Mus musculus: one gene and its partners. The protein of the gene in region 5 purifies or fractionates together with the protein of the main gene of each other region. This does not show direct contact. Links are inferred from orthologs where the notes say so. Each region holds a gene or a part of one and is shown on either strand. Other genes may lie near its edges.

Region 1 (4,818 bases), on a different chromosome or scaffold from region 5:
AGCGGCAGGGCCAGAGACAACGCCACTGGCTGTGAGTGTCCCAGGAGAAACGGCACCCAGCTGCAGGGAGGCTGGAGAGGAGTGAGCTCGAACATGCTGTGGAGTCAGAGCTCCCGCAGTACCTGCATCAGTACTGGCCTATCAGGAATAGCAAAATGAAAATTAACAATAGAGACAACAGCACCTACCCCTAACTTCCAAACAGTATGTCACGGCAACCAAATATCTAAGTATCAAATGTAAACTTTAATGTTTAATTTCTTACACAACAGGAACACACCAGACCAAATAGACCATTACAAAAATTTAATAGGCATTATAAATGTTATTTTACTGATGAACAGTCCATCTGGATGAATGTCTACCTCCTAGACAGTGTGAAAACAACAAATACTAGGCATAATAACTTTATTTAGTGGTAAAGAATAATGCTCATCCTACATAACTCAAAATAATCAGTACTTTTCTAAGCAGTGTGGTTACTTTTCCAGGTTCTAGAACAAAACCTGGGGAACGACTGGGCACTTTTTTCTTTGTTGTAAATGTCTAATGTTCCCCCATCTTTCACTTTTTTGACTGTAAACAAATGTGATAAGTCAGCCATTATAAATTATACAACATTTAATAAATTCAAACTCTCAGAACTGCACCAATGCTAAAAGCTCCTCAATGAAGAGAATAATAGGCTAGCCCTTTTTGTGCCTAGAGAAAGACTTTTTCAATTCAATTATAATTTGTGGATTCACACACTTATAATAGCTGGGTGAGGGACAAAAGAAAAATCTGCAAAGACCCCAATGATTCAAATTTGGGTCCAATCAGACCAGTGTTAAGACAGGGGTCAGGAATAAACTTGTGTGTAAATGAGCTTTTCCAAGCGAGAGGATATAGGGCTAGAAGACTTCTCAGGCAGGGGCCTGTGGATGATTATTTACTAACTCTGATACATACCATTCACAGTCCAATCCTTTTATTGGAATTAGGGTTTCTCAAAACGTTTTTCTAGATTTATGTTGATAAGGAAACTGAAAAGACCCAGCAGTCATTTAAAGCCCCATAGGAAAACCCCGTTTTTGAGTTTCCAGATAGATTGAATTTTAGGAAACCATTAGCGCACAGAAAAGGTAAATTTATTGACGAACAGCTCTCTTAAAACGCTTAGAGAGAATGCAAATGTACCCACGAACGGCCCAGTGGAAGCCAGTATTACAAGTACACTTTCCCGGGTTCATTCCTTCTGACTTCTAAGTGCTACAAAATGGAGCGTTCAATCTGTGTATTCCTTCAAAGTTGCCCCAGCGGTTTCTCGATTGCATGTCACATACGTTTAGTTCAGCGAGTACAGAAACTCACTTGTGGGGGAGGGAGCAAATAGTATCTAGGTCTACTGTTGTTACAAATTAAGAGTTTATTTAGCCGAGCAGCTAGATAACTTTTCCTTCCTTCTTAAGAGGCTTTTTGTAGGGAGGTTAATCGAGATTTTCGAAGCTTCAAAAACCCCGTTCTACAACAAGCCTGCCTAGGAGGGGGGGCTGGAGTGGGGGCGGCAACTCTTCTTTCCACTCAAGTTACAGCCCGAGTGGGCTAACGACATGGCAGTGTTTGGAAAACCAATTAAGTTTTGGGCAAAGTTCCTGTGCTGCTTTAGCCTAAAGCAAGTTCTTTAAAAATTAAGTAATTAAAAGCGGGGGGAGCGACACTAAAGAAATCTACCAGGACCTATCGGAATGTTAATACTTTGAAACGGTTTCACTTCTGTGCTGGATCCAGTTGGGAAAATAACCAGGCGTCGTGGATACGGATAAGCAGCCATGTTCACATCCGCAGTCAGTTAAAGAGCAATGGCGAGCTTGGAATTAGTCATTGCTTCCCAAACATTACCTTTAATCACAGTTGAGCCGGGCAGAACTCGGCCTATGAGTCAACCTGCAACGCGCTATCAAAGGCCGGCGCAGAAACCTCTGCACCGTGAGCGCAGCCGAGCTCCTGCGCAACACACAGACGTGGCTCATTTAAAAGCTTTCGGGCCGAACAGTAAATAATAGGTTACGATTTAGGAAAAGGACACGTGAGCCCACCGAGTGTGAAAGGATCCCGCCCGCGCGAGTTCCAGGGCACGGCGGAGGCGAGTGGGGGGTCGAGGGAGCTTCGCTCGGGCTGGGGAGCCCGAACCCTGCATCCGGAGAGCGCCTGGGCCGCGAGAACAGAAAAGCTTTCGGGAGAGGGAGGGGGAGGGGACCGGGAGAAGGAACCAGAAACTCAATGGACCAGTTCAACCCCCACCCCTCACCGGCACGCGAAAACAAGAGGGCAGTTAACACAGCTCCACCGGAGACTGCAGTGGCGCGGGAAGGGGAGATCGGGTACCCCCGGCTGGGGTCCCGCACAAGACGCCGGCCCCCTCCCCCTCCTCCCCTCCCCCTCGTCAGAGCGAAGGTGCGGAGCGGAGGCGCGCGCATTGTGCACCCCCCCTGCGGCCAACTCCGCGAAAACAACCCCCAGCACCGCACCCCCACGCGGCCCCGCGCCCCCGGGATACCCTTACCTGTCGCGAGTGGGACTTGGGCTCAGGCGGCTTGAAGAAGGAGTCGGGCAGCTTGCGAAGCCGCATGGGCACGGTCTGAGGCACGTTGGCCGTCTTGGGGTTCATGACGGCATTGAAGAGCGCCTCCAAGTCGGTCTCCGAGTCCCCGCGGACGTGCACGACCTGGTGGCCGGCCGGGGGTGCGGGCGGGGCCGCGGGGGTCCCGGCCGGAGACACGGACGGCGGCGCGGGGCCTTGCGGGGCCGGCTGGGGCGGCGGCTGTTGCGCGGGCTCCATGGCTGCGGCCTCGTTCGACGCTCGGGGCACTGCGCTCAGGTTCGGGGGGCTGCGACGCGCGCCCGCATCGCCCTGCACTCCTTGCCCGAGGCCGCCTCCCCTCTCCTCCCCTCCCCTCCGCGAGCTCCTTCCTTCCTCCCTTTCTTTGCCCCCGGCCGCGGCGGCGTCCCAACTGAGACAGAAACTTTGGCTCCAGACGCCCAAACTAAAAAGTTGCGAGGAGCGCCCGCCCGCGCGCCTCGCGGGCTCCGCCTCCTCGACGCTCTTCCTTCCTCTGCGCGCCCGCCCGCACCGAATCCGCGGCCCGCGGCCCCCGGGGAAACTTTCCCTGCGCGTCGCTACATTCCTGCAGACTCCCGGCCGCACGTGACCCGGGGGCGACCGCGCTGCGTGCGCACCCACCGGCCGGCCCCGAGCCGCTCGGCTGCGGGCGCAGATCCTGCCGGACCCGCGCGCAACGCCAAGGCCGCGAGGAATCGGGACAACCGGCTTGGTAGGGTGGATGCAAAGGCCACACTGTTCACCCGCACTAAGGTTAATCCGGTCCGCGTTTTAACATTGATTCCATTTACCACCAAGTTTGAAGAAGAAACAACAAAACACTTGAGGGCGGGTGCAAATGATTTCAAAGTGAAGCTTGGAAACCAGGAGTTGCACTGGGAGTACCTTACAAAAGGAAACAGTATTACTTTTTAAATTTTGTTTTAAACAGGCTTTACTCTGTAGTCAAGGATATCCTCCAACTCTTTGTGCCACAGCTTCCACAGACAGCTAGGATTCCAAGCCAGGGCCTCTGCTAGCCCGGTTTTTGTAGGTTCATAGGTTCGTCCTTTTTCTTTTCTTTTTTCTTTTTTTTCTTTTCTTTCTTCCTTCCTTCCGCTCCCCCTTTCTCCCTCTCCTTCCTTTTTCTTCCTTTTTGTGTTTCTAATTATGTACAAGTGAGCACAGGTGAAGGTCAGAGGACCATTTGTGGGATCTGTTTTCTTCTTGGTTGTGGGTCCCAGAAATCGAGCTCAGGTACCCTGAACCATCCATCTCATGTTGACTACCCTATTTTGCTGTTTTGAGTCAGGTTCCTATGTAGCTAAGGCTTTCCTCCAATTCACTACATAACTGAGGCTAGCTTAAAATTTCTGCTCCCCCTACCTCAGCCTATAAAGGGCTCAAATAACAAATGTGGGGCACCTTGCTCAGCAAACTTTTTTTTTTTTTAAGTGAAAAGTCAATTTTTTAACACCAAAACTTGACATTTCTTTGGGAACTTCAACTCAAAACATAAGTCACTGTTTAACCTCATGGAGCATTGTGGGTTTTCCTCTTGTGTTTAGTACAAGGGTAAACAATGCAGGGTAGACTAAGAAATGAACCTCAATGGAGATTACCTTAGCCCCTGATTCTCTGTGTGTCAGTCTTTTATCTATCAGGAGCCTATCTGGAATCACTCCAAAAATGATAAAAATCTGTTCGTGTTTTTTAAGTTAATTATTTTGTATTGGGTGTTTTGCCTGAGTTTATGTCTTTGCCTTGGTTCCACAGAGGTCCAAAAGATGGTATTAGATTCCATGGAATTGGAGTACAACTGGTTGTGAACAGCCACGTGGGTACAGGGATTCGAACCTGAGCCTTCTTAGGAACCAGTACTTTTAGTGACCGGCCCTCTCCTCAGCCCCTTGTTGAAGTCATGAGCTACAAAACAAGAACTGGTTTTAATGAGGTATAACTGACATAACTATATAGTCTTCCACTTAAGCAGTTTGGTGCTTTTTGAGTGTATTCCCAGAGTTGTGCAACACTGACTTTAAACACACAAATTTCTTCTCCAGAAATCTGGTTTCTTGTTCTAATGATTTTGTCTGCAGTGTGAGTGAAACGGGTATAAATAGGATTAAGCAAAGAAAGGACCCTTGAGCAAAAAGATAATCTCTTCCTCTAGTTAAGACACGCCCGGAAGAATTCTGAGCAGCAGTCTATCGCTTTGTGTGGTAGAGTAGGGTGAG
Region 2 (3,140 bases), on a different chromosome or scaffold from region 5:
ATTACATATTGTCATCATCTGATTCATCTTCTTCCTTCAAAGATTCCTGTTAAAAGAAAAAAGTGTTTTAAGTTTTTCATTCTGGTACATCCTATAGAATCTGCACTTTTAACATCTGTAATTAAAAATTATTTATTCCTGAAAAATACCACATTTAAAGATAACCCAATAAGTCTATATTGTCCTATGGATAAAAGCATTAAATGTCCTGGAAGGAAAAACCTGGAATTTTCTTTGCTTTTTTTGTTCCCGCTCTTTTTGGCTTTTAGAGACAGGGTTTCTGTGTTTTCCCCCTCTGACCTAGAACTTGCTTTGTAGACCAGGCTGGCCTTGAACTGAGAGATGTTCCTGCCTCTGTTCCCTTTGCTGTGAATACAGGTGATACACCATGCCCAGCAACCCTGAAATGTTCAAGGAGACAACTCCTTTTTTTAAAGAGGCAAACACCAACAACAAAAAATAAAAAATAAAAGTTTAGAGCTAGGGCAAATCTATCCCCACCAGAGATAACCTTAAAGAGAGTAACCTAGGGGCTGGAGAGATGGCTCAGCGGTTAAGAGCACTGACTGCTCTTCCAGAGGTCCAATCCCAGTTCAAATCCCAGCAACCACATGGTGGCTCACAACCGCCGGTAATGAAATCTGATACCCTCATCTGGTGTGTCTGAAGTCAGCTACAGTGTACTTAAGATATAATAAATAAATCTTTAAAAAAACAAACAAACAAAAAAACCAGTAATCTAAAAGACAGTTTACCCTAATTTCAAGCAAACATCAACCAAATTACTTCATTACCACGATCCTGTTCAGAACAAGTTGCTGCTTACCTTGGCATATTTCTCTGCTTCCTCTCTTATGTCTTTGGGAACAATTTCATGTCTTCCTTTAGTTACTATAAAATCAAACCATATATTAAATATGAGGATTATAATTTGTAATACTGTGAACTCGCCCTAATCTTCAAGTGCATAGAGATCATTTCCTGTTGCCTCCTCCCCCAAATAATCATTATTCACAGGTGAACTCACTTAAAAATAACAGTAAGCTTGACTTATAAATCGGTTTTTTTTTTTGTTTTTTTTTTTCTTTTTTGTTTTTTTGAGACAGGGTTTCTCTGTATAGCCCTGGCTGTCCTGGAACTCACTCTGTAGACCAGGCTGGCCTCGAACTCAGAAATCCGCCTGCCTCTGCCTCTGCCTCTGCCTCCCAGGTGCTGGATTAAAGGTGTGTGCCACCATGCCCGGCAAGAATTCTTTCATTAACTTGTCGTAAAGTGCAAATAAATTCTAGAACAATAAATGTACAAATGTAACTTACATTCACCAACCCAGCTGAGCTCCAGTTCAAAAGCTTTATCCTTAACTTCATCGTGTACTATGTAAATTCTACAACAGAAAAGAAATTAACACAAAATAAACACAAGTTCTATAAACAGTGAGTACAAAGTAGACGTTGTGTGCCTGGTATTTATAAAATGACATACTCTCCAGCCTAGTTCAACCTTAGAAAGACAGATTAGGAGCTGGAGAGATGCTCAGTTGTAAGGTCACTTGGCTTTGGTTCTCAGCATACACAATGCTGACTTAGAACCCACATCTAACCCCACCACTCCTCTCCCCCAATCCAAAACCCTCTCCAGTCTCTTACAGTCAGACACAGTACATGCAAGCAAACTACTTATACACAGAAAATAAAAGTTTTATTTTCCTTAAAATGGGAAATTACACTGGAATTGAGACACTCTTTACAAATACTGATATACTTCTATTTCTCAAGTTGTTTATTTTGAAGCCGGGCGTGGTGGCGCACGCCTTTAATCACAGCACTCGGGAGGCAGAGGCAGGCGGATTTCTGAGTTCGAGGCCAGCCTGGTCTACAGAGTTCCAGGACAGCCAGGACTACACAGAGAAACCCTGTCTCGAACCCCCCCCCCCCCAAATAAAAAAAAAGTTGTTTATTTTGATAATGGTTTAAGGCTTCAAATAAAAGACATCTCAGAAAGAAAACAGATTCAAATTAGAAAGACCATATGCCTTTTCATGATACCCATTTTTTCTATTTGTAAACATATTTCAGAAACAAACCAGTAATTTAAACCATCTGTCCAGATAGTGTCAATGCCACTCAAACTGGTTCTTATGGTGTAATACATTACAAACAAGAAGGCACACAAGCAGTTACAGTAACAGTAAACAACTGAGCTTCAGCTGGCAGCAATGGCTCATGACTGTAATCCCAGGAGGTTAAGGCAGGACACTCCTGAATCTGAGGCTGTCCTCAAAATGACAAAAACCTCCCTATGATAGAAAAACAAAGCTTTCTGTTTCTTTTCTTACTTTTAGAGGCTCTGCTAAAGCCTTGCTGTATAGTACAAGAGAGCACCTTAGTTACAAGGATGAAAAGATGGCTTTCTGAAGAGGAACAAGTACTACCAATCACAAACTATGAAAGGTGCCAAAGGGTTGACTTCCAACAGGAACTTCAAAGACTATTTCAGCAACAGACCCTGGATTGTACCATACTCAAACTATTTAAAGGAATTACTTTCACTTTCCAATGTAATATGGTTCTTAACTGACTTAAAAAAGGAAGACTGCTTCATAACAGAAGGTAAATGAAGAGAGATGAGTCTTGGTAAGAATGGGAATAGTAAGAAACAAAATCCCTTTGTGAGAGATTATAGGCACCATCTTTTATTATGATAGAACCCAGATTTTTTTCCTTGTTTGTATTATCAAATGCAAAACCTGAAAGATACTATTACATAAAGAACCATATTCAGCAATACTGTAGTTTGTGTAGTTTACCTGAAAAGGCAGCTAGAAAGCGAGTACTCTACACAATATTTTAACAGCAAGTGTCTGCATTCTTTAAAATTAATTTTTTGGTTTTTGTTGGGTTTTTGAGACAAGGAAGGGTTTCCCTGTTTAGTCCTGGTTGCCCTGGGATTGCTCTGTAGACCAGACTGGTCTCCAACTCACAGAGATCCTCCTGCCTCTGCCTCCTGGATGCTGTGACTGGCCTACATTACTGCTCTTGACAAATTATAATTCTCTCTGAATTATCACCCTGACTTCACTGCTTACTACTACACAACGTGGTACACAGGACTCACCATCTACCTGTAACGGAAAGTCTCAG
Region 3 (3,912 bases), on a different chromosome or scaffold from region 5:
GGTGGTCTGGCCTTTAGGAGCACTGTCAGTTCTTTCAGAGGCCCAACACCTGCCTATATATGGCAGCTCACAACTGTCTGACTCCAGTCCTGGGGAAATCTAATGCATGTGGTCAGAATACCCAGGCAGCTGTAGTGAATGTACGGTGGAGGGAGAGAGTGAGGTGCCCAGTGTCTATCTATCTATATAGCACAATAGATAGATAAAAAATACCCAAGTGTGGTGGTGTGTGCCTGTAGCCCCAGTGCTCATGGTGCAGAGGAAGAAAGAGCAAGTTGTATCACAGCCTAGCTACAGAAAGCCAAACACATGTAAAATCAGTGTGGAGGACTAGGCACTGGTCTGTCTCCCTAAGGCAGTGTTCATGAACTAAGTAGCAGAAAGCTACTTAGGCCTGGGCTGAGGATGGTGGCCTCTGTGTAAGCTTGGCCATGAATGTTGGTATGTAGCTGGAAGCCAGGGATGATGGGGTACTGAGAAATGGGGACACTAAAACTATCATTTTTAGTCCTGGAGTTTTGAAAGCTCTAAAATACAAGGTCTATGCTAATTCTGGGGTTTCTCTGAAGAGTTCCTGGTTCCAGCAGCTACCTCCTTCCTTCAAAGCCTATGTATGCAGGCTAGCATGAAGCTCTGCTGTGGAATTCCTCAGTCCCCCGTGCCTAGCTAATTGAGTAATCTGATAGAGATAGACACTATCATTTGTTACAGGTTGAGAATAGGGGTTCCCTACATTCCCAGGGGATCTTGAATGGCCAGATATTCCTCTTACCACACCTGATCACCACCCAGATTTCTTTTTCTTTCTTTTTTTTTTAAATTTATTTATTTATATGAGTACACGTACTTCAGACATACCAGAAGAGGACATTGGTATCGGATCCCATTACAGATGGTTGCTGGGATCCCATGTGGTTGCTGGGAATTGAACTCAGGCCCTCTGGAAGAGCAATCAGTGCTCTTAACTGCTGAGCTATCTCTCCAGCCCCCAGATTTCTTTTTCTTTCTTTTTTTTTTTAAAGATTGATTTATTATTATATCTAAGTACACTGTAGCTGTCTGCAGATGCACCAGAAGAGGGTGTCAGATTTCTTTATGGATAGTTGTGAGCCACCATGTGGTTGCCGGGACCTGAACTCAGGACCTTCTGAAGAGCAGTCAGTGCTCCCAACCACTGAGCTATCTCTCCAGCCCTACCACCCAGATTTCTAAAACCATAGAAATTCTGAGGTTTCTTTTAACATTAGCTGCTAGGACTCCCATAGGAGAACAGTATAGTGTTATGGTGAACATTGTTGGCTTCCAGGGCCTGGTAACTCTGCTGCTGTTCTTTGCAGAAGAAGTCAGGAGCTAGGCACATGGTACTTGGATTGTAAAAGTTGCTGGCAGCTACAGGAGTGGGTTCTGCTGAGATTGGGCCAAAGCTGCCTCACTGCCAGATGGAAGGGTTCATTTGTGGGAAGAATTCTACCAGCCATGCTCCTATAGGACTGCCCATACTGAGAGCAGGATAATCATCTTAGAAAAGACAGGACAGGTCTGAGGGGCAGGCCAGACCTTGAAACAGTTGTCAGTGGGCAAAGCCTGTGGTCCAGAGTTGAATTAGAGGGTATTACTTTTGGCTTAGGCTTACTGAAAGGGTCTTATGACATGTTTAACGGTCAGTCTTTCCAACCTGTTTCCATCTCAGGAGTGCTCACCAAGTGGCCAGGTACCGCCCTCGGGCTCCTATCATTGCCGTGACTCGAAATCCCCAGACTGCTCGCCAGGCCCATCTGTACCGTGGCATCTTCCCTGTGCTGTGTAAGGATGCCGTGCTGAATGCCTGGGCTGAGGATGTCGACCTTCGTGTAAACTTGGCCATGGATGTTGGTATGTAGCTGGAAACAAGGGAATGATGAAGTGCTAATAAATGGGGACCCTAAAACTACCACTTCCTGAAGTCATGGGCTGGGCCTATCTGTTTTATCACCCAGTTGTAAGATTAGCTGGAGCTACTGTCCTGAGCAGGGTGGGGTTAGAGGGTGGGGAACACAAGCTTTTGTGGCCTTATTCCTATATAGAGACAAGGAGGCAGCTGACCCTGACTCTCTAGAGTATAAACTGAATGGTGTCCAAAGGTCTCTGCATTCTGAGTTCAGCCTCAGCCCTTGTTTAGGCTAGGAGGCTTGCACCATCTTGTGGTGAGAAGAAGTAACTGTCAACCTGCTCCCCTACCCAGACGAGGATTATTAGGGCAGTTATCTGCACCTGCCTTGTTGGATTTGTGTCTGGGTTGGGAAAAGTGCCACTTTGTGTGATCAATTAGGACTGTGGGGCTTTGCAGTTTTCCTCAAGTGTATACCTCTACTCACCAACCTCCTTTTCCCCCCAGGCAAGGCCCGAGGCTTCTTCAAGAAGGGAGATGTGGTCATTGTGCTGACCGGGTGGCGCCCTGGCTCTGGATTCACCAACACCATGCGTGTAGTGCCTGTACCTTGATGGCCCTCTGGAGCCCCTCTTCTAGCCCCTGTCCCTTCCCCTCCCCTATCCTTTCCATTAGGCCAGCAACGCTTGTAGTGCTCACTCTGGGCCATAGTGTGGCGCTGGTGGGCTGGGACACCAGGGAAAATTAATGCCTCTAAAACATGCAATAGAGACCAGCTATTATTCAGGGCCCTACCTGAGCCAGGGGTGGAGGAGGAATGCAGGACTGGAAACCCTGACTTTATCACAGAAGGGCGGCAGCATCTCTGGGCTTTGCTTCTGTAGAAAGTTGTCAGAATTCCCAGCCCTAGCCTGGAGTCAGGAGACAGCAAAAGAGTAGGGGCTGAGGGTGTGGGGCCCAGGGTCCCAGTGTAGATGACGACTTCTGGCCCTGGCCCTGACCTGCTTTCCCAACAGCTTTGGCCTCCCCACTTCTTGTGCACTCCACTTCTGTCACTGCAGACACTCCACTCTCCACCTTGTATTCTGCAGAGTCTCCAGGCCTGTTGCTATAGTGCCCACCTGAATGTCAATAAACAGCAGCTGAAGCACCTGTGTTGTGTTTTGTTTTGTTTTTTTCCGGGGGTTGGTAGTGGTGGTCGAGCCCTGCCCTTTGAGCAATTGAGAATGACAACAGCCAGGAGGCCTGGCCTTGGGTGCTATGGATCCACCAGATAACCTTCAAGCACGGGACCACTGGAGACGCCGGAGACTGAATACTTTGGGAGTATATAAGTTGCCTCCTGCACCAAAGTGCGGCTGTGTATCGGGAAGCTGATCCGTTCTATTTCAGGGCAAATACTAGAAAAGTCTGGGACAGGTTCAGCTAGCACCTAGAATGGTCGAATAGTGGGCTGATCCCTGTGGTAGAGGCCTGTTGAGGGCGCTGTAGGATGAGTCCCTGATTGGATACTTCACAAAACCCTCAGCCTCCATAACAGTTAAGCACAAAGGGTCTCTTGTTTTCCTGTTGCCCTCAGGAATAAGGTACATAGAAACAAGGTGGGACCCTTGTCCCTGGCAACTCCCAACAGCCACCTAGTCAGAGGCTAAGGCCTCTGAAATTGAGATGTTGCAGCACCAAGAGCTCAGGTTAGGTAAGGAGGTTGGAAGGCGGAGTAGAATGAAGAGCCCTGAGGGAACATTTTGATATGAAGTCCCATAATTGAGGACCCAGGCCCTGGTTTCCTCGACCTCACAATTTTGAAGACCTACCTGCAGCTGGGACCCATCAGGGCGGTCTGGGAGCGGGGAAGGCTCCACCAATTGAGCCAGGCTCATTCTGCGCGAGCGGCCAATAGGCGTGTGGGGGCGGGCCTTTCCCGGGGTGGGCGGTCCCCGGAGGGCACTGGGTCTGGCGCACGGCCTCGGGCTCCCGGAGAAGGCGCTGCGATGACCGCCCTGAGCCGTAGCGAGCCTGTCGAGGCGGGCAGGTAAGGGAGGCGT
Region 4 (4,263 bases), on a different chromosome or scaffold from region 5:
ACTGTGTAAACATCTGAGTGTGGTGGCTCTTGCTTGTTAATCCCAGCACTTGGGAGTCTGAGGCAGGAAGGCTGCTGTGAGCGGGAAGCCAGACTGCACTATAGAATGAGAGACTCCTGTGCTTCCCCCAAGATGTCTCCTAGATACTTGTTGATGGAAAGAGCCATCAGTCCTTGCATTTGGCTGTCCTATTAGTGTCACTCCCTGGGCAGTCACTGAGAGACATCTTCTACCCCCATCCTTCTCCCTTCTTCCCTAGAGACGCCAATGGCTGCAGGAAGCCATGTCGGCCGCCTTCCGGGGCCAGCGAGAGGAGGTGGAGCAGATGAAGAACTGCCTCCGGGTCCTGTCCCAGGCCACACCCGCAATGGCTGGCGAAGCTGAGCTGGCCACTGACCAGCAGGAGCGTGAAGGCGCACTAGAGCTGCTGGCAGACCTGTGCGAGAACATGGACAATGCAGCAGGTACCCTCCTCCCTCAGTACTCCCCAGGCTGTCCCACATGCTGTCTGGCTCTGCCCTTTCCCAATTCTCCTGTATTGAACCAGCAGCTCCTCCCAGGAACAAAGCCCTCCTCATACCCCACCAAGTCCCTGTGGTGACAGATTTGTTCTGCTACTTCCCGAGGAGTCCTGGGACTGATGTTGACTCCCTAATTTGCTTGCTACTCTCTCAAGGGAAGGGAGGTGGTTTGGGATGGAGTGGTAATCTGAGGCCGCCTGGAAGTAGAGTGTTTGATCAGAGACCTGAGTGAGGGTATTTCATGGGGTATATCACCTGAGTGAGGGTATATCATGGGGTATATCACCTGAGTGAGGGTATGTCATGGGGTATATCACCTGAGTGCGGGTATATCATGGGGTATATCACCTGAGTGAGGGTATGTCATGGGGTATATCACCTGAGTGAGGGTATATCATGGGGTATATCACCTGAGTGAGGGTATGTCATGGGGTATATCACCTGAGTGAGGGTATATCATGGGATATATCACCTGAGTGAGGGTATGTCATGGGGTATATCACCTGAGTGCGGGTATATCATGGGGTATATCACCTGAGTGAGGGTATGTCATGGGGTATATCACCTGAGTGAGGGTATATCATGGGGTATATCACCTGAGTGAGGGTATGTCATGGGGTATATCACCTGAGTGAGGGTATATCATGGGGTATATCACCTGAGTGATGGTATGTCATGGGGTATATCACCTGAGTGAGGGTATGTCATGGGGTATATCACCCGAGTGAGGGTATGTCATGGGGTACTCCTGCTTTACAAAAGGCATTCGAGGCAGTAGGAATAGCTAGTGCAAACGTTGAGGTAGGATGGTGCTACTGTGATCAGAACAGACAGACATCCTCCTGTCAAAGGAGTGGGACGGACACGTGTAGGTCTAGGGTAAGCAATGACATTGAAGTATCCATGGTCAAGGTGCATTCTGTAGGTCACATTCATATGTATGTATGCATGTATGTATATATAATTTATTTATTTTTAAATGAGACAAGATCTCACTATGTAGACCTAGCTGGCTTGGAACTCTGTGGTCCAGGATGGTCTCAAACTCACAGGTATTTTACCTGCCTCTGTGTCTCATGTACTAGGATTAAAGGGGGATCAAAGACATTTGCTACCACAACCAGCTTTTTTTCCTTCTTTTTTAAAGATTTATTTATATGAGTACACTGTTGCTGTCTTAAAGAAGAGAGCATTGGATCCCATAACAGATGATTGCGAGTCACCGTGTGGTTGTTGGAAATTGAACTTAGGACCTCTGGAAGAGCAGTTGGTGCTCTTAACCACAGAACCATCTTTCTATAACCACCCCCCCTTTTTCCCCCTTTTTTATGTATGTATGTATTTATTTAATGTATATGAGTGTACTGTAGCTGTCTTCAGACACACGAGAAGAGGGCATCGGATCCCATTACAGATGGTTGTGAGCCACCATGTGGTTGTTGGGAATTGAACTCAGGTCCTCTGGAAGAGTAGCCAGTGCTCTTAACCACTGAGCCATCTCTCCAGCCCTTTTTTTCCCCCTTTTTTGAGACAGGGTCTCACTGTGTTACCCTTGCTGGCCTAGAACTCACTATGTATACATATTAGGCTGGTCTTAAACCCACAGCGATCCCCCTCCTCTGCCTCCTGAGAGCTAGGATTAAAGACGTTTTATGTTTATGTGTGAGTGCCTGCATGTATGTATTTGTGTGTACCACCACATGCATATCTGGTAACCTCAAAGGCTAGAGAAGAACTTTGAATCCCCTGGAACTGGAGTTACAGGCAGTTGCAGTCTGCCCATGTGGGAGTTGGTAACCGAATATGGGTCCTCTACAAGAACAGCAAGTGTTGTTAATCTCTGAGCCATTCCTCAAGCCCCACATTTTTTTTGTTATTGTTGTTGAGACAAATTCTCAGGCAGCCCAGGCTACCCTCATGCTTGCTGTGTACCTGGGGTTGGCTTTGAACTCCTAATCTTCTTTTCTCCTCTCCCCCGGTGCTGGAATTTCAGGTGTGTGTCACCAGGCCGAGTTTCTTTTTTTTTTTTTTTTTTTTAATTTATTTATTATTTATTATATGTAAGTACACTGTAGCTGTCCTCAGATACTCCAGAAGAGGGCGTCAGATCTCATTACAGGTGGTTGTGAGCCACCATGTGGTTGCTGGGATTTGAACTCAGAGCCTTCGGAAGAGCAGTCAGTGCTCTTAACCCCTGAGCCATCTCGCCAACCCCCAGGCCGAGTTTCTAAACTTTACTTTTATTTATCAAGGTAAAAAAAAAAAAAAAATCACAAAATGGGCCAGTGAGAGGGTTCAGTGGGAAAAAGTGTTGCCACCCAGTGACCTGAGTTTGTTAGAAACTCACATGATGGGAAGAGAGAAACACCTCCCAGAACCTTGACCTTTAAAATCGTACATAACATGTGTATGCCTACACACACACACACACGCACACACACACACACCACTAATAAATATAAATAAATATGTAAATGTTAAAAAGTCACAACAGAAGTAACCATTTTGAGTATATAATTCTGTAGCATCCATCTCTTTTATTTATTTAATTTTCTTGTTTTGTTTTACTATTTTTGGGAGGGAGGTTTTATGAGACAGGGTTTCTCTGTGTAGCTCTGGCTGTCCTGGAATTCAGAGATCCTGCCTGCCTCCTCTGAGTGCCAGGAGTAAAGTCGTGCACCACTACTGCCCAGACAGTCTATAACATCCTAGCTGACGCTGAATTTGTGACTGTCCTTCTGTTTATACCTTCTAAGAGGTGGAATTACAGGCTGTGCCAGCACTGGGCAGCATTCAGGACATTACAGTATTTTGCAGTATTACCTCCAGGTTTCAGAACTTGTTGAGTATGGCAAGCCTACTCGACTGAGCTAGATTGCTAGCCCTCTTTGCATTTCGTGCTTTGAGGCAGGGTCTCAGAAAGATGCTGAGTCTAACCTTGAACTCCTGAAGTCCACGCAGAACTTTTAATCCTCCTGTCTCAGCGTTTTGTTTTTTTTGTTTTTTTTTTGTTTTTCTAGGCAGAATCTCACTATGCAGGTCTGTCTGTGCTGGAATTTAAGTATATATATAATATATAATATAATAAATCAGTCAGTAAGTATATATATATATAATATAATAAATCAGTCAGTATGTATATATATATATATATATATATATATATATAATATAATAAATCAGTCTGGTGGAGTCAAACACACAGAGATCCACTGGCCTCTTCTTCCCAAGTGCTAGGAGTGCACTAGTATACCCTGCTCTGTCTTGGCTTTCTAGGTAGCTGGGGTAATAGGCATGTACCCCCAGTTCCTCCCAATCTCTTGTTTTGTGACAGTGTCTTGTTTTGTTTTGCTTTTGTTTTTCGAGACAGGGTTTCTCTGTATAGCCCTGGCTGTCCTGGAACTCACTTTGTAGACCAGGCTGCTGGCCTTGAACTCAGAAATCCGCCTGCCTCTGCCTCCCAAGTGCTGGGATTAAAGGCGTGCACCACCACCACCGCCCGGCTGTGACAGTGTCTTATGTAAACCAGGAAGGCATAATACTTCTACGTAGCTGAGGATGACCTTGAATTTAGGATCTTACTGCCTCCTTCTTAGTGCTGAGTGTACCACTATGCCTATTGTATGTGGTGCTAAGACCCAAACCCAGGACTTTATGAAGGCTATGCAGGCACTCTACCAACTGAGCCTTAGCTACAGACCTGACTCACTTCCAAATCTTTTCATCAGCCTTTCTTCTCATA
Region 5 (4,822 bases):
GCTGTATGAGACACCTCCCCTCCAGGACGGTCTGTGCTCCCTCTCTCCCTTCAAGCTCTGCACCTGACTTGAGGTGGTAGCTTTACTCCTGGCCATGGCCGGAATCCACAGGAGGTGGGGCCCCTGGGAAGAAACTGTGGACTTCCAGGTCAGTCCAAGTTCAGCAATCGTTTATTGTGCTACAAGAGCTTCCAATCTCCTGTTCTTTCAGCCTCCCTTCCAAACGCAAGCCCACAACAGAGCTAGGTTCACTTGGCCTGGGTCCTGTAATTCTTGGCAGGTCCTTGTGGGAGGCCCAGTCAGGGTGAAGGTCAGGCAGCAGGTCTGGGCATACATCTGCCCCCCAAGTTTGCACAAGACGAAGAGTCTACAACTCTAAGACACTCACTAGTGAGGTCCACAAGGGTTCTGGGGTCAAGTTACTAACCACCAGAACCATGATGGGGCCCTGGATGACCTCTCAGGCCCCGCTCAGCCCCGCTCAGAAAGGCAGTGAACTCTTGCACCTGGGCTAGAAACAGCAAGTAGTGCTTGAGTGTGTACTGGAGGGTTAGCAAGCTAGGAACTGTAGCCACCGCCTCTTCGTATATGAAAGCTGCAACCCCAGAAACCTCTGCCTCCAGGACCACTGCAAAGAGTGACAAGGAGGTTCTGGGGATAGCTTTTTTTGAGCTCCTAGAGCCCCCACCCAACTTGGGCAAAGATGCTACCTACTCACTCGAGGCAGTGGCAGAAACCACGCAGCGAAGTTTGACTGCGGCGCCCAGATCAGCAGAAAGCCGAGTTCTGCTTCTCCAAGTCCGGGGTTGGGGGTGTTAGCGGCCAACAGCTGATGCAGCAGCGGCTAGAAATGCCTCAACGACAGACCATGGGGTCAAAGGGTCTTGGTGCAGGCGCTCTCCAAGGAAACCAGCCGGCTCCGCCCTTGAAGAAGCTCCTCCCCATGACCGCGAGAAGGGCAAGAGTCCAGCCGTGCACCCGCAGCTACTTCTATAGCAACCGCAGAAGGTCCTTCGGTGTCAGCGTGTCACGTGCTTGTTTCTCAGCCATTAATGGCCGCAGGCAGCTCCTCCCGATTCCCGAGGAAGCCCCTCGAGAGCGGTCTGATCTGCGGGCCTCTCTTCTACCCTCAATTCCGCCTTCCTACCGGCGGTCCAGACGTTCCCAGGCTGTCGCGTGAGCCCGTGTGTGCCCTGGTGGTGCGCTAGGACCCGGGCCTAGTGACCGGCCCTCGGAAGGCCACTTCTCAATGACCGCTGCCACGTTCGCCCAGCTTGGGGCCGGAGGGCGGGGCTTGAGCGCCGATGGGCGGAGCCTTGGTCTGAGCAGGGTAGGTCTCGGTTACTGTAGGGCGGGGCCTGTAGAGCGCGGCGGAAGCTTCTCAGAGCTAAGGGAACTGGCTCAATCCACGAGGCTCCGCCTTTGCTCACGTGTCCCCATGCCAGCTCCGCCCCACACCGGAAGTTCCGGTGGCGGATCGCCGACCGGGCGGAGCTGATCGCTGCGCGGGCTGCGAGATCTAGGTGGCCGGGCGCGGAGCCCAAGCCGTGCCGCGCGGCGCCATGAAGGGCAAGGAGGAAAAGGAGGGCGGCGCGCGGCTGGGCACTGGTGGCGGCGGCAGCCCTGATAAGAGCCCGAGTGCGCAAGAGCTCAAGGAGCAGGGAAACCGGCTCTTCGTGGGCCGCAAGTACCCGGAGGCGGCGGCCTGCTACGGCCGCGCCATCGTGAGTGCGGGAGGGGCGGGGGCGGGGCCCGATGTGCCTCCCAGTTTTGTGATCCCGGACAGGGTTTCTGGCAGCCTGGACTCGATGGCTCGCTCGCTCCCCTGGTGCCCGGATTGCTGTTCCCGAGTCTAGGGCTGATTTGACTGGGAACTGGCGGGCGGGATGCTTGATTAAGTAAGACTAAGGATGACACCAGGAGCTCTTGCCCCTTGAGATTTCCAAGCCCAGAGCTTGTAGAGGGGTTGTGGGATTTCTCTCAAAAGCAGTTGGAGGCAAGAAAGCATGGCCAGAATCCAGAGCTCTTGATAATTCGGAAATCTCCAGTTCCTCTATTCCAGCCATGGGCCCCCAAAGCTGGAGCATTGACCAGATCATTGGCTTTCAGCTTGCTAAATGAGAGGGGATCAACTGAGCCCACACTCTTTGACGCCTGGTCTTGGTCCCCAGACTCGGAACCCACTTGTGGCAGTGTACTACACTAACCGGGCCCTGTGCTATCTGAAGATGCAGCAGCCTGAACAGGCACTTGCTGACTGCCGGCGAGCCCTGGAGCTGGACGGGCAGTCTGTGAAGGCGCACTTCTTCCTGGGGCAGTGCCAGCTGGAGATGGAGAGTTATGATGAGGCCATTGCCAATCTGCAGCGAGGTGGGCTGACAAGATGCAAGGTTGAGGGCACCTTGGGGGACCAGGATTGTTGACAAGTGTAACCAAAAGTGTCCACTCCCCTAGCCTATAGTTTGGCCAAGGAGCAGCGACTCAACTTTGGGGATGATATTCCTAGTGCCCTTCGCATTGCTAAGAAGAAGCGCTGGAACAGTATCGAGGAACGGCGCATCCACCAGGAGAGTGAGCTGCATTCATATCTCACCAGGCTCATTGCTGCTGAGCGAGAGAGGTGGGTCCCTCCCCCAGCAGACACTGAGTCACCAGCACAAGTGTTTTTATTGAAGGACAACAACCGGTACATGGGAAGCCCAGGAGGAAAGAGGCCTGAGATGGGGCGGGCTCTGTGATTTCCTGGTCAGGGCCATCACCAACTAGCTTCTGGTTAACCCTCAGGGAACTGGAGGAGTGTCAGCGGAACCACGAGGGTCATGAAGATGATGGCCACATCCGGGCCCAGCAGGCCTGCATTGAGGCCAAGCACGTGAGGGTGCCCCTAGTCCACATGTGGGTCATTGTGTGTGTGTTTGTGTGTGGCATGAAAAGTGCCCCAGCCTTTGGTGGATCTGTTGGCCCATGCATGACATGAGTGCCCTGGTGGACAGAGTGTGTGTGTCTGTGTGGAGACAGGAGTTGCCCACACATGGCACTCAACTCTGCAGGATAAATACATGGCAGATATGGATGAGCTCTTCTCTCAGGTGGACGAGAAAAGAAAGGTGAGGACCCCCGGAAGCTCATCGGCTGCTGCTGGTATGGTGACCCCCACAGCCCCCTCCAGTTCTAGACATTTTCCCCTTGTGCTATAGAAGCGAGATATCCCTGACTACTTGTGTGGCAAGATTAGCTTTGAGCTGATGCGGGAACCCTGCATTACACCCAGTGGTATCACCTATGACCGCAAGGACATTGAGGAGCACCTGCAGGTAAGGAGGGCCCATGGAGACCGGGCCATGGAGAGCCTTGGTACCCGGATCGGTATACTCAGGCCATTGAACACTCTTGACTCTGTTGCAGCGTGTGGGCCACTTTGACCCTGTGACCCGGAGCCCTCTGACCCAGGAACAGCTCATCCCCAACTTGGCCATGAAGGAAGTCATTGACGCTTTCATCTCTGAGAACGGCTGGGTAGAGGACTATTGAGGCCCCATGTCCTGCCTGGCACCCTGGCCCAGGAGGATCTGGAGACGGAAGCTCCAGTCCCTGTATAGTTTGTGTCCCTGGGCCTGCCCCCATCGGCCCTGCTGATGGGTTCTGAACTGCTCCCCTTCTCAGCATACCCCTTGCTGGACCATGAGCCTCCCTTGTCCCCCTTCTGGGCTGGAGAGTGGGTGAGGGTGGGCTGAGGTTGCTGCTGCTGCCACTGTCCTGTAATAAAGTCTGTGAGCACTACATTGGCATGTGCTGGTGCAGTGGGCTTGCCAGTTGCCTGTCTGGCTAGCCAAGGAAGGTAGAAATGAAGACACTGGTGTCCAGATTGAGTGTGGCATGCCACCACCGATCAGGAAAATACAGTACCTGGGAGAAAAGAAAAAAAAAATTTTGATTCATGGCTTTTTGAGTTAGCCCAACCCCCACCTACCAGCTACTGACTTCACCAGCCTGGATGGTACATTCTAGAGGCCGTGCTGACAGGGCTAGAGATGGGTATATTTCCAGCAGCCAGGCCAATGTGGTCTTGTTAGGGTGGAACTCAGGTGTCTTCTCAGGAGGGTAGAGGAACCAGCGCTGGAGGCAGGAGTGTAAGGTCACTATGTGTGCAATGGACTATAGACACCAGATTTACACACACACATAACACACACATAACACTGTACTGACCTTCCGACCATAGATAACCTCTGAGAAACCAGGCCCATGCCAGTGGAAGGGTACCCCAGATCCAGCTCCTGTGGGGTCAGTTATGAATAGCTGATGAACAAAATATATATGGGCTCCCCCAAGTTTGTTTTGAAGTAGCCCCTACCTGCAATTCCAAAGCTGTAAGCAGGGGTGGTTCCCAGGAGACGGAATGGTGGCGGAGAGTAGTGCTGGAAGAGGGATGCCCACTCAGTGAAGTTGTTGTCTCCAAAAAAGTACAGGGTGTCTGCCAGCAGAGAGGGTGATAGGCAGGAGTACTGGCAACAGTGGGCTCCCAAGTACCCCACTCCCACCGCTGCCTGGGTCTGGCTCACCATTGCCTAGGGATGCAGGATCCTGGGGCTGCAGCAGCTGTTCCACATATTCCTGGAAGGGCAGGTCCACTACAAGAAGGGGGAGCCAGTCGGGACTGGTCAGTTCTGCCTTTGAGATGTGAAGGCAAACCTTGCAGGGTGTGTAGCTCACCTTTCTGGTAGGAGTAGGTGTTGGCTGTACTCAAGCGAACAATGTTGTCCCCGAACGAGGCTAGCAGGTTTTCCCGGGAACACAGGGCCCGGAACTTCTGGGGATGAAG
Region 6 (4,263 bases), on a different chromosome or scaffold from region 5:
CACAAATGTGCATACAAGTATTTGTGCACATATGTACATGCACACATGACCATACAGGCACAAAATTAAAAGTAAAGGTTAATCTTGACAAACAAGATGGAGCTGAATAGGAGGATGCCTGATGTTGACCTCTGCCATCCACATGTGTATGCATGGGTGTACACCTGTGTATACACAACATAAGAACACTTGACTCTGTGGTCAGTGCCACTGCCTCTGCTTGCTGTGCTCATGTGACAAGATAGACACACATCTATCCTCCCTCCTTTCTGCAGGCCTATAATGCACCGGAATGTTCGCTACAACTGCAGAGTCATCTTTCTCAACAGGTAGGTAAGGGCAGCTGGCATACCTGTGCCTGGCTCTTGTTGGGGATACCTTGAGAGGTGCCCCTTAGTGAGCACAGCATACTGGCCCAGCAATTCCTATGACTCTCCTTCTCTGGGACTCAGCCACCCTCACTCAGGCTAGAGGAGGAGACTCAAGGTTGGGTTTGTTTGGGCTTTTTATCCTTGCCACCTGGACAATAGATAAGGTGGGGGAAGTCTCCTTGCCATGCCCCGCCAAACCACCCTCCACACACCAGGCTACAGCAAAGTGCACATGTTGGGTGGATAGAGCCATGGAGTATTTCTTCCCCCACCCCAAACAGAAACCTTTAGCCTAGAGAAAGGGAGGAAGGAAGGGAGGGAGGGAGGGAGGGAGGAAGGTAGGTAGGTAGGTTTGCTCAGGGCCCTGGTCTTGAGCCAGCTCAGTAGCCTTATCTTATCCTATGGACAGATTTTGTGGCAGAAGTGTGGTGTGAACAGTTTTTTCACCTGCTGTAGGAAGATCCTGCTCATCAGACCCAAGATGGCCTTGGCCAACGAAGGCAACTACCGGGAACTGCGCTGGTTTACCCCCTGGACCAGGAGCCGGTGAGTGGCAGGTTCTTCAGCATCAGTGTAGTCCCAGCCTCACACTGATCACTAAATGTCCTCTGCACATGCAGCCTCGGCTGGGAGGTGAGCCACAGGACACTAAGGGGGTGGTGAGGCTGGGAGGACTGTTCCTGCCATTCAGACATGGTCAATTCCATGCTGTCAGTTCAAATCTGAACCAGAAGAAACCATAAAACCTCAGTCACCAGTCAGTGGCACTGGTCACTGGTCACTCTTAAGTGGACGGACATTGTGTCTCAAATTGTTCTTTATAGCAAAACTCTCAGCATAGTCCATTTGACCTTTGGGAACAGGTCATTCTTCATTTGGGTTGGGGGAACTGTCCTGTGCAGTATATGGTAGTCAGAGGTACCTCAGCCTCTGAGTAGAGTTTATTAACCAAAATTATCCTGAGCTAGGTAGGCATGGTTGTGCACGCCGTTCTTCCTGGTGCTTAATGTCAACCTTGACTACATAGCAAGCTCCAGGTTAGCCTGGGGAACATGGAACTCCACACTTTACCAAATGTTTCCTAGGGGGCAAGATGCCCCCATTTGGGAAGCCCTGCTCAGAAGAGTTACTCTGAAGAGACACCATCACTATGGTAATTTGTTTAAAAGTAAGCATTTAATTGGAGCTTGCTTACAGATTCAGAAAGTTAGTGCAGCTTCATCTTAGCTGGGAGCATGGCAGCACACAGGTAGACATGGTGCTGGAGAACTAGTTGATAGTTCTACATTCGGATCCACAGGCATCAGGAAGAGAAAGCCCCTTGGGCCTAGCTTGGGCTTTTGTAATCTCAAATATATGAACCTACTAGGCCACACCTCCTAATAGCCACTCCCTAGGTCAAACATATTCAAACCCCCACATTCCATTCCCTGAACCCGTAGGCTTGTACACACACACGAGTCTATGGGGACCATACCAAGCCATAGCATAATGCAAAATACATTTAGTCCAACTTCAAAAGTCCCATAGTCTATAACAGTCTCAACAGTGTTATAAGTCCAAAGTTCAAAGTTTCTCCTGAGATTCATCCAATCACTTAACTGTAATCCCTTATAAAATAAAAACCAGAAAAGCCGAGTACATGCCTCCAATGTCACAGAATATACATTACCATTCCAAAATGTCATAGTTAGGCTCTTGGTCCAAATATTATTATTATTATTATTTAGTTTGTTGAGACAGGGTTTCTCTGTGTAGCCCTGGCTGTCCTGGAACTCACTTTGTAGACCAGGCTGGCCTCAAATTCAGAAATCCACCTGCTTCTGCCTCCCAAGTGCTGGGATTAAAGGCATGCACCACCACTCCTGGCCTTGGTCCAAATCTTGAGGAATAGTGACCATGAAAAGCTTAGGTCCAGGCAAGATGGAACATGCCTTTAATTTCAGCATTCAGGAAACAGAGCATGCAGATCTCTGAGTTCTGGCCCAGTAAGGAGTTCTCCATGCTAATGAGGTACCTAGAGCCCCCAAAGATTTGACCAATAAGCTTCCCTGCCTAGACATTTCTTCCTACAAAAGGTATTTAACCTCCGGTCCACCCTGAGCAGTCGGTATGCATCCATTTTCCATGATGAACAACCAGTGAACAGTTTGGAGCCAAGGACTGTCCCTTTCACCTACCACTACCCATGGCAGTGGTCGATGAAAGAGAAGGTGTAGAGAAGGCCTTTGCCTACAGAGCCACTGCCTAAGTCTCCCATAGAAGGCCTCTCTGCACTCCCAGCCATAACTGCCACTAAGCTAAGGACAATCAGTCACTGCTGAGCTAAGGCAGACCCCCACCCCATCCTCAGCTTTCGGGCCTTTTCTGTTCTTGGCTCTTCGGCAACTTCCAGCAGTGTCTGAGAACCACCTCAGGCCCGGCCTTGTCACAGGCCTAGGGACCTGTGACACTTCGTTCTGACCCCTCTGTGCGGCACCCTATGGACGACTGGGTGCTTGGGCAGCTTTGGCTTTCGCACATCTCAGACTGCATTTTCCCAACCCTGGAGCACCTTGTTGGCTGCTGCGTGGGATAAGCGCAGTCAAGCACTTCGTGTGTTTCACCTCCCCAGTGGCAGTGCCTCAGCATGGGGTGGAACTCGGACCCCCACGTCTCAGCTTTTCCATGCTTTGATTCTTTCCTTTCAGACAAACTGAGGAATATGTCCTCCCTCGGATGTTACAGGACCTGACAAAGCAGGTGCATCCTCCCCAGGGCTTCCTGCCAGTGCAGGCTGAGGGTGGGACGCAGGAGGAGCTCTTGGGTAGAATCAGATCATAGCTGGGTAGGTGGGAAGCACAGAGTGGAACTTCCATGGTGAGTGTCAGAGATTACAAACCAGGCTGCAGGAGTCAACCCTGCGAGTGGGTAGACTCCGATTCAGGGACAGTTCTAGGAAACCATAGACAATCAGCTGGTGGTTGGCATATCTCTGAGCTTTGTCCCTCTTTTTATATTGTGGACCTGGGATTCTGGCTCTTTTTGCAGCCTTGGTGAATGGTGACATCCTTGGTGGCAGGAGATGGAGTGGAGGAGAGGCCTGTTGCAGCCATAGTAAAGCTGTACGGGGAAATAGGAGTAGTGGTATATGCTGGGGCAGGGTACACCCATGGTGAGGAACGAAAGCCTTAGGCCTAGAACAGTATGTCAGCCTTCAGGAAATCAGACCACGATGTAGCACAGTATGTGGCCCTGGGATCTAAAGCGGTCTCTCCCTCCCCACCCCACCCCCCGCCAGAAAACTGTGCCCTTTGGAGATGTGGTACTGGCCACCCAAGACACCTGTGTCGGGAGTGAGATCTGTGAGGAGCTCTGGACACCACGCAGGTCAGCCGGCTCTCTGTGCCATCCGTTCCCCATCCTGGGCCTGCCAGTGGGAAGACCCAAGCTTTGCAGTTAAGGTCATGTCCTTAACAGTGGAGGTCCCTCCAGATAGATAGCTAAAGGGCTACAGGAACCACTCCACTTGACTCTCTCCACAGCCCCCACATCGACATGGGCCTGGATGGTGTGGAGATCATTACCAATGCCTCGGGCAGCCACCACGTGCTCCGCAAAGCCCATACCAGAGTGGATCTGGTAACCATGGCCACCTCCAAGGTGGGCATTGGGCAGGGAGGGTAGAGCACAGTCCTAAGTTAGGAGTTTATCAGGGAGCCCCCAGGAGCAATGGCACCTGGGCAGGGCTCAGCCACTTCTGGTACATGCTTAAGGCAGTGGTTGCAAGCTATATTCCGTTACCATGCCTGGTCCCTCCCAGACTCCTCTTCCTGATACCTGGCCCTAACTGCCATCATTCAAAGCAGATTCTGTTGACACTGCTGCAACAGGGAACCAGAGTGTGTTCCTG
Region 7 (4,718 bases), on a different chromosome or scaffold from region 5:
GCTCAGGTAGCACTGAGGGATTTTTTTTTTTTTTCTTTCAGGAATCCTGTACATATTCATGAAGGAACATGCCTATTCCAAAGCATGCTCAGTTTAAAGTCATAATTTATATAAGGAAAAGAGCATAGGCGTGTCATTAGACAGGAGCATATCCGTAGTAACTTAGACTGGAGATGCCTCTGTGCGTGTTCAACGTGTGGAGACATTTAAACAAACATATGAAGATCCCTGCCATTTTAGTTACTTTCCTACTGCTGTGATAAAACACCTCCACCAAGACAACTTGTAAAAGAAAGCATTTAATTGGACTTAGATACAGAGGGTCTGAGTCTATGATGGCTGCAGAGACATGTCCTGAGCACTCAGATCTCAAACCCAAGCAGAGGCAGAGAGACACTGGGAATAGCTTGGTCTTCTGAAACCTGCCCACGGGGAGTGATACACTTCCTTCAGCAAGGCCACACCCAGGCCTCCCCAGTGTTCAAGTGCTAGAGAGCACAGATGGCATCTCATTCAAACCACCACATCTGCCTGGCCTCGTTGCCAACCTAACAGAGCTATGTCTGCGGCCACTTTTATTTTTCCTTTGACACTTGCTGAAGCTACCCAGCCTAGCCTTGAATCCACCCTGGCCCACGTTACACAACTTGTCAGCCTCCAGAGGAGCATTAGACCTGAGACCTGCCCAAGTTCAGACTTTCAAGATGTCCACAAAATGTTCAGATTTCACGGTTGTATCGTGAGATGACAGTGTTTAATGAAGCCAAGATAATCCACCGTTTATTAGTATTAAGATGTGTTCGGGGTGTGGTGGGGACAGGATTAGAAACTGTACTTAAGGGGCTTGTCTCTGTTCAGTAATCTAATGGCTTTGAGTTCTGGGTAAAGGATGTAAATGTACTTTGTTTCCCATTTTCTGTACCCTGTACACTGAGAGGACAAAACACAACTTTAAGATGCGGCTTCGTATTTCAGACCTACTGACCTCTGCAGCTTCTGACATCTAAGCCTACTGAATATCATTCGCAGAGGGTTTAAACAAGTTATGTGTGATAGTAATAATCCTTTCATTGGAAAGGGGAGACAACACGGATCCACTTGGCTTCTCCTTATTTGGAGCCTGTGGTCTAGGCTTTCCCTGTCCTCTCCCGAGCCTGCCTGGTCACCGGACAGGTCGAACAAGTAGAGACTGCCCTAGGGTGCACTGGATTGTCTCCTCTTCTCACGGGCTGCACCCACTTCGTCCTTGCTGTGAACCGTGGGTGCTGGGAGGACCGGCCGAGGCCCTGGGCGCCGGGGCAGGGTCCCCCACCCTGGCGTGCCCGCGGCTGCGACCGCGCCTGCCCTTGTTTGGCCGCACGGCCTCGGGGGTGGAGAGCCGGGGAGGTGGGGGCGGTGCCGTCCGCGTCAGCGGCGCCCGTGGTGACGGCGACGTGCGGCTCGCGCCACTGCTGCCCGCGGACGCCGAGGACCCCCGGAGCTCATGGCCCAGGCGAAGATCAGCGCCAAGGCCCACGAGGGCCGCTTCTGCCGCTCGTCTTCCATGGCCGACCGCTCCAGCCGCCTGCTGGAGAGTCTGGACCAGCTGGAGCTCAGGTGAGGGCCGCGGGGCGCGCACAGGGGCGAGCGCGGGCGGGGGCGCGCTCCGGTTGGGCTCCCCTCCCCCGGCCCGGCAGACTGGCGAGCGAGTGCGGCTTGCAGAACTTCCAGAATCTTCTGCGCGGTCCCCCTCTGCCTTTAACTTTTCTGCTTCCAGGAGGGAGGCAGCAGGTTGGTGTGCCCCCCCCCCCCTCACCCCACACTGGAGTAAGTTTCTTTGCCCCAGATCACTTCATAGTAATACAAGTGTAAGGGAGGGGGGGGTGGTAGTATCCAGGACGGCCCCTCCTGGGGATCATCGAGAATCGGACTCATGAGAGACCGCGCGAGGTACACCGAAGTTGGATACCATCCTTCATTCTCTCAACCACGTGCAATGCCCTCTGCAGTCTGTCCGTGTTTGTTGTACATTTAGAAGACACGGCTGACACCTTGGAAGTGCCAATCGCAGGCCCGAAAACACCAAAGGCAGGAGTCACACTCTCCCTAAGATTCTGACACGGGGACAGCCTTGTCGTAAAATTTCTAACTCATGAATACTACTAACGAATGCTGTGAACACTTGGTTGGCTTTAACCACGTGAGCCTTATGTATCTGGTGGAAATGTTAATGTCTTCAAAGTTGTGCAAGTTTTGATCATGTGCAGGTGTTCCATGAAAATCTTATCAAGATGCCCTGACACACACGTTGTTCCCTAGTTTTCTCCGGGTTCTGCGTAAGCAGAACACTATGACCCAAAATTATAAGAGGGAGATGAATCTCCCTCCACGCAGCCACCAAACACAGGGAAGTGTGTCTGCACAGGAAAAAAAAAATGCAAGCAGTGTTCGTTACACGGGAGGCGCTCATTACTGTTACTATTAGGAGAAAAGAGCCAGAAGGTGAGAAAACTTTCACTGACTGTGGAGTAGCCACAAAAGAAACCTGAACCCTATATCCCCCAACTCCGGGAGACAAAGGGACCTGCGCTGTGAAAGGGGGCGAGAATGTTTCCTTGTGCGAGGTAGGCTCTAACCTTTGACAGTATATTCCCAACTGCTCCGATTTTTTTTCTTGAAAGGGTTCAGGAAGTTGTGACTCTTCAAGCTGAGTCATTGTTCTGAACCTTTACTTAATCAAGCCTGTGTGCCGAGTCCTTGCTCTTCTCCTGGGGGCCTCTTGAAAGTCTGGAGTTTGCATAGACATTCTAGTGTCTGATTACTATCAAAGGAATCCTGACTACCAAACATAAGCGATTAAATTACGTTACTTATTAACAGTTGCGCTGAAGGGGTTTTATTTCTGTGTTTAATGGTTCAAGGCCTTTACCAGTAACTGCAGAGTTCTGTAAGTCTTGTTTCTCCCTTAAAAATGTAATGAGCACTTAGAAGTAAGTGTGTCAGAAGGGGCAAAGAAATAGAAAGAGATGCTGCCTGGTAAGGCTTAGGGGCCCTTTTTAGAAGCCATCTGGACAGTGCCACAGAGCATGACAGTATTCAAAATTAGACTTTTTAAAAATGGGGACGATGCTCCTGTGACTTCCCCCTAGCTTTCTTAGTGTACACGTCTGAGGACAACAGTGGACGGGGTACTACCGGAAATCACTGGATTGTCGCCAGTGCGCATCTTCCATTCAGGTGAATGGGTTCTGTGAACAGCAAAAGCCTGCTCCCTTGTAAGACTGAAACCACACCCAAGGCTTTCTGTCCTGCAGGATGCACTGATCTTCCGGGCATTGAAAATGCTTTTAAATGTTTAGCCCAGTTTTACAAGCTGGTAAAGGGTGCCATTGGTTTTTAATGGCTTATAATATTACAATTAAAAACATTTTTACATTAAAATATCCTTACATTAAAAAAAATTTTTTTTTTACTACATCTCCTTTCCTGTGGTGCTTTCTCTAAAAAGATAATCCTGTCCTTTCCTGATTTTCATGACCAGTTCTATGGGGACTCTGCACATGCTGAGGCTAAATACTGTACTTTTCAGTGGTTGTAAATAATCCACGTTAGCATTAGTCTGTAGGCTAGGCCGCGTGTCTCTGTGGGAGTTACCGTTATCTGTATTGTACAGATGAGAACTTGAAGCTCAGATATATACAGTGTGTCTCAGTCCAGAGCAGTGGACTTCGCCTAGGAACACGGGGAGACCGGCTGCTCAGACCAACACCATTTGTCCTGGTCTTGAATATCACTTTTCAAACTGTCCAGCTGATATATGAATGAATATGATTTTACTAAAGGAGGGGAAAATCGATTTAGCATTTGATTCAGTAAACCTTGAAGACCTAGAACGTGCCAGTTATCGAGTAGCTGCTCCGGGCCTGGGGTTTGGACATTGGCCAAGGAGGGATAAATGATTGACAGGGCTGGAAGGCTGGCTCTTTACACATCTCCCAAAACCGATCCCGCCCGCAGTGAGCAGCTCCTTTCCAGTTCACTCAGCCAGGAAAGGGTGACTGCCAGCGGGAGCCAGGGAAACGGGCCACCCGCCTGCTTTGGTTTCTTACTGTTTAAGGTTCCTGTTCGGATGCGCCAGTGTTCCAGGACCCACGAAGCAAGTTGACACCATACTTAATTTGGAGTAACAGTCTGTAATTTAGAAGGAACACTTTTCGTGTACACTGTAATTTCAACCACTGTAATTTCAACCTTATAAAGCCCCTGGGAAAGGAAGGCATTATCTTTTAGCAATGAGAGCGCTGGGCTGCGATGGGTCTTAATTGGAACGATGTTTGTTTAGCACATTCACAAACATAGGTTTGATCTCTGGCTTCAGAAAACCAGCATAGTGGTTCATGCCTGTAGCCCAAATCCTAGAGTTGTGAGGATTTGGTCATCCTGGGCTACATAAGGAGTTCTGGGTCAGCCTGGGACACATGAGACCCTGTCCGGGGATAGGGGTGGAAGAAACTGAGGGACTAGGTGCCTTGCCTTACTGGTTAGTGGTTCATTCACGCTGACAGTGAATGAAATACAAGCATTTTGATGACTGGGAAAACCAATTCCTGACAGTATCGGGATGCTGAGGGTCTCACATGGAGCCTGGTCTATGAGTTTAAGAATGTGTTTTAGAAAAAGCCCCCTTCGCATAAATCCACAGAGATGAGTGGCGGCCACCTCCCTGTTTATGAAAGCAC

Evidence for each region.
Region 1: the proteins of Stub1 (region 5) and Yap1 purify together in Homo sapiens (affinity purification with mass spectrometry; 3 studies listed by BioGRID and IntAct, with this or other methods). This does not show direct contact. The link is inferred for Mus musculus from reciprocal best matches to the Homo sapiens genes STUB1 and YAP1.
Region 2: the proteins of Stub1 (region 5) and Psma3 purify together in Homo sapiens (affinity purification with western blotting; 3 studies listed by BioGRID, with this or other methods). This does not show direct contact. The link is inferred for Mus musculus from reciprocal best matches to the Homo sapiens genes STUB1 and PSMA3.
Region 3: the proteins of Stub1 (region 5) and Pkm purify together in Homo sapiens (affinity purification with western blotting; 3 studies listed by BioGRID, with this or other methods). This does not show direct contact. The link is inferred for Mus musculus from reciprocal best matches to the Homo sapiens genes STUB1 and PKM.
Region 4: the proteins of Stub1 (region 5) and Hspbp1 purify together in Homo sapiens (affinity purification with western blotting; 4 studies listed by BioGRID and IntAct, with this or other methods). This does not show direct contact. The link is inferred for Mus musculus from reciprocal best matches to the Homo sapiens genes STUB1 and HSPBP1.
Region 6: the proteins of Stub1 (region 5) and Nadsyn1 purify together in Homo sapiens (co-immunoprecipitation; 3 studies listed by BioGRID and IntAct, with this or other methods). This does not show direct contact. The link is inferred for Mus musculus from reciprocal best matches to the Homo sapiens genes STUB1 and NADSYN1.
Region 7: the proteins of Stub1 (region 5) and Bag2 purify together in Homo sapiens (affinity purification with mass spectrometry; 7 studies listed by BioGRID and IntAct, with this or other methods). This does not show direct contact. The link is inferred for Mus musculus from reciprocal best matches to the Homo sapiens genes STUB1 and BAG2.

Annotation. Positions count from the first base shown.
Region 1 is NC_000075.6:8,001,570-8,006,387, forward strand, and holds the start of Yap1 (transcriptional coactivator YAP1), read right to left. Parts: upstream 3,028-4,818; 5' UTR 2,822-3,027; coding exon 2,546-2,821; intron 139-2,545; coding exon 1-138. UniProt on the Homo sapiens protein: Transcriptional regulator with dual roles as a coactivator and corepressor. Critical downstream regulatory target in the Hippo signaling pathway, crucial for organ size control and tumor suppression by restricting proliferation and promoting apoptosis.
Region 2 is NC_000078.6:70,991,257-70,994,396, reverse strand, and holds part of Psma3 (proteasome subunit alpha type-3), read right to left. Parts: intron 2,783-3,140; exon of another isoform or gene 2,342-2,782; intron 1,385-2,341; coding exon 1,317-1,384; intron 892-1,316; coding exon 827-891; intron 47-826; coding exon 2-46; 3' UTR 1-1. UniProt on the Homo sapiens protein: Component of the 20S core proteasome complex involved in the proteolytic degradation of most intracellular proteins. This complex plays numerous essential roles within the cell by associating with different regulatory particles.
Region 3 is NC_000075.6:59,676,354-59,680,265, forward strand, and holds the end of Pkm (pyruvate kinase PKM), read left to right. Parts: intron 1-1,690; coding exon 1,691-1,872; intron 1,873-2,374; coding exon 2,375-2,481; 3' UTR 2,482-3,019; downstream 3,020-3,912. UniProt on the Homo sapiens protein: Catalyzes the final rate-limiting step of glycolysis by mediating the transfer of a phosphoryl group from phosphoenolpyruvate (PEP) to ADP, generating ATP.
Region 4 is NC_000073.6:4,678,045-4,682,307, reverse strand, and holds part of Hspbp1 (hsp70-binding protein 1), read left to right. Parts: intron 1-259; coding exon 260-464; intron 465-4,263. UniProt on the Homo sapiens protein: Inhibits HSPA1A chaperone activity by changing the conformation of the ATP-binding domain of HSPA1A and interfering with ATP binding. Interferes with ubiquitination mediated by STUB1 and inhibits chaperone-assisted degradation of immature CFTR.
Region 5 is NC_000083.6:25,829,594-25,834,415, reverse strand, and holds Stub1 (STIP1 homology and U box-containing protein 1), read left to right. Parts: upstream 1-1,496; 5' UTR 1,497-1,562; coding exon 1,563-1,724; intron 1,725-2,171; coding exon 2,172-2,370; intron 2,371-2,454; coding exon 2,455-2,620; exon of another isoform or gene 2,621-2,784; coding exon 2,785-2,872; exon of another isoform or gene 2,873-3,050; coding exon 3,051-3,107; exon of another isoform or gene 3,108-3,197; coding exon 3,198-3,314; exon of another isoform or gene 3,315-3,405; coding exon 3,406-3,531; 3' UTR 3,532-3,782; downstream 3,783-4,822. Other genes in the region: Jmjd8 (jmjC domain-containing protein 8 precursor), read right to left, coding at 3,826-3,906, 3,982-4,116, 4,210-4,277, 4,355-4,474, 4,563-4,631, 4,714-4,810. UniProt on the Homo sapiens protein: E3 ubiquitin-protein ligase which targets misfolded chaperone substrates towards proteasomal degradation.
Region 6 is NC_000073.6:143,812,240-143,816,502, reverse strand, and holds part of Nadsyn1 (glutamine-dependent NAD(+) synthetase), read left to right. Parts: intron 1-275; coding exon 276-329; intron 330-780; exon of another isoform or gene 781-827; coding exon 828-917; intron 918-3,061; coding exon 3,062-3,113; intron 3,114-3,651; coding exon 3,652-3,740; intron 3,741-3,895; coding exon 3,896-4,013; intron 4,014-4,263. UniProt on the Homo sapiens protein: Catalyzes the final step of the nicotinamide adenine dinucleotide (NAD) de novo synthesis pathway, the ATP-dependent amidation of deamido-NAD using L-glutamine as a nitrogen source.
Region 7 is NC_000067.6:33,754,457-33,759,174, reverse strand, and holds the start of Bag2 (BAG family molecular chaperone regulator 2), read left to right. Parts: upstream 1-1,424; 5' UTR 1,425-1,483; coding exon 1,484-1,596; intron 1,597-1,608; exon of another isoform or gene 1,609-1,770; intron 1,771-4,718. UniProt on the Homo sapiens protein: Co-chaperone for HSP70 and HSC70 chaperone proteins. Acts as a nucleotide-exchange factor (NEF) promoting the release of ADP from the HSP70 and HSC70 proteins thereby triggering client/substrate protein release.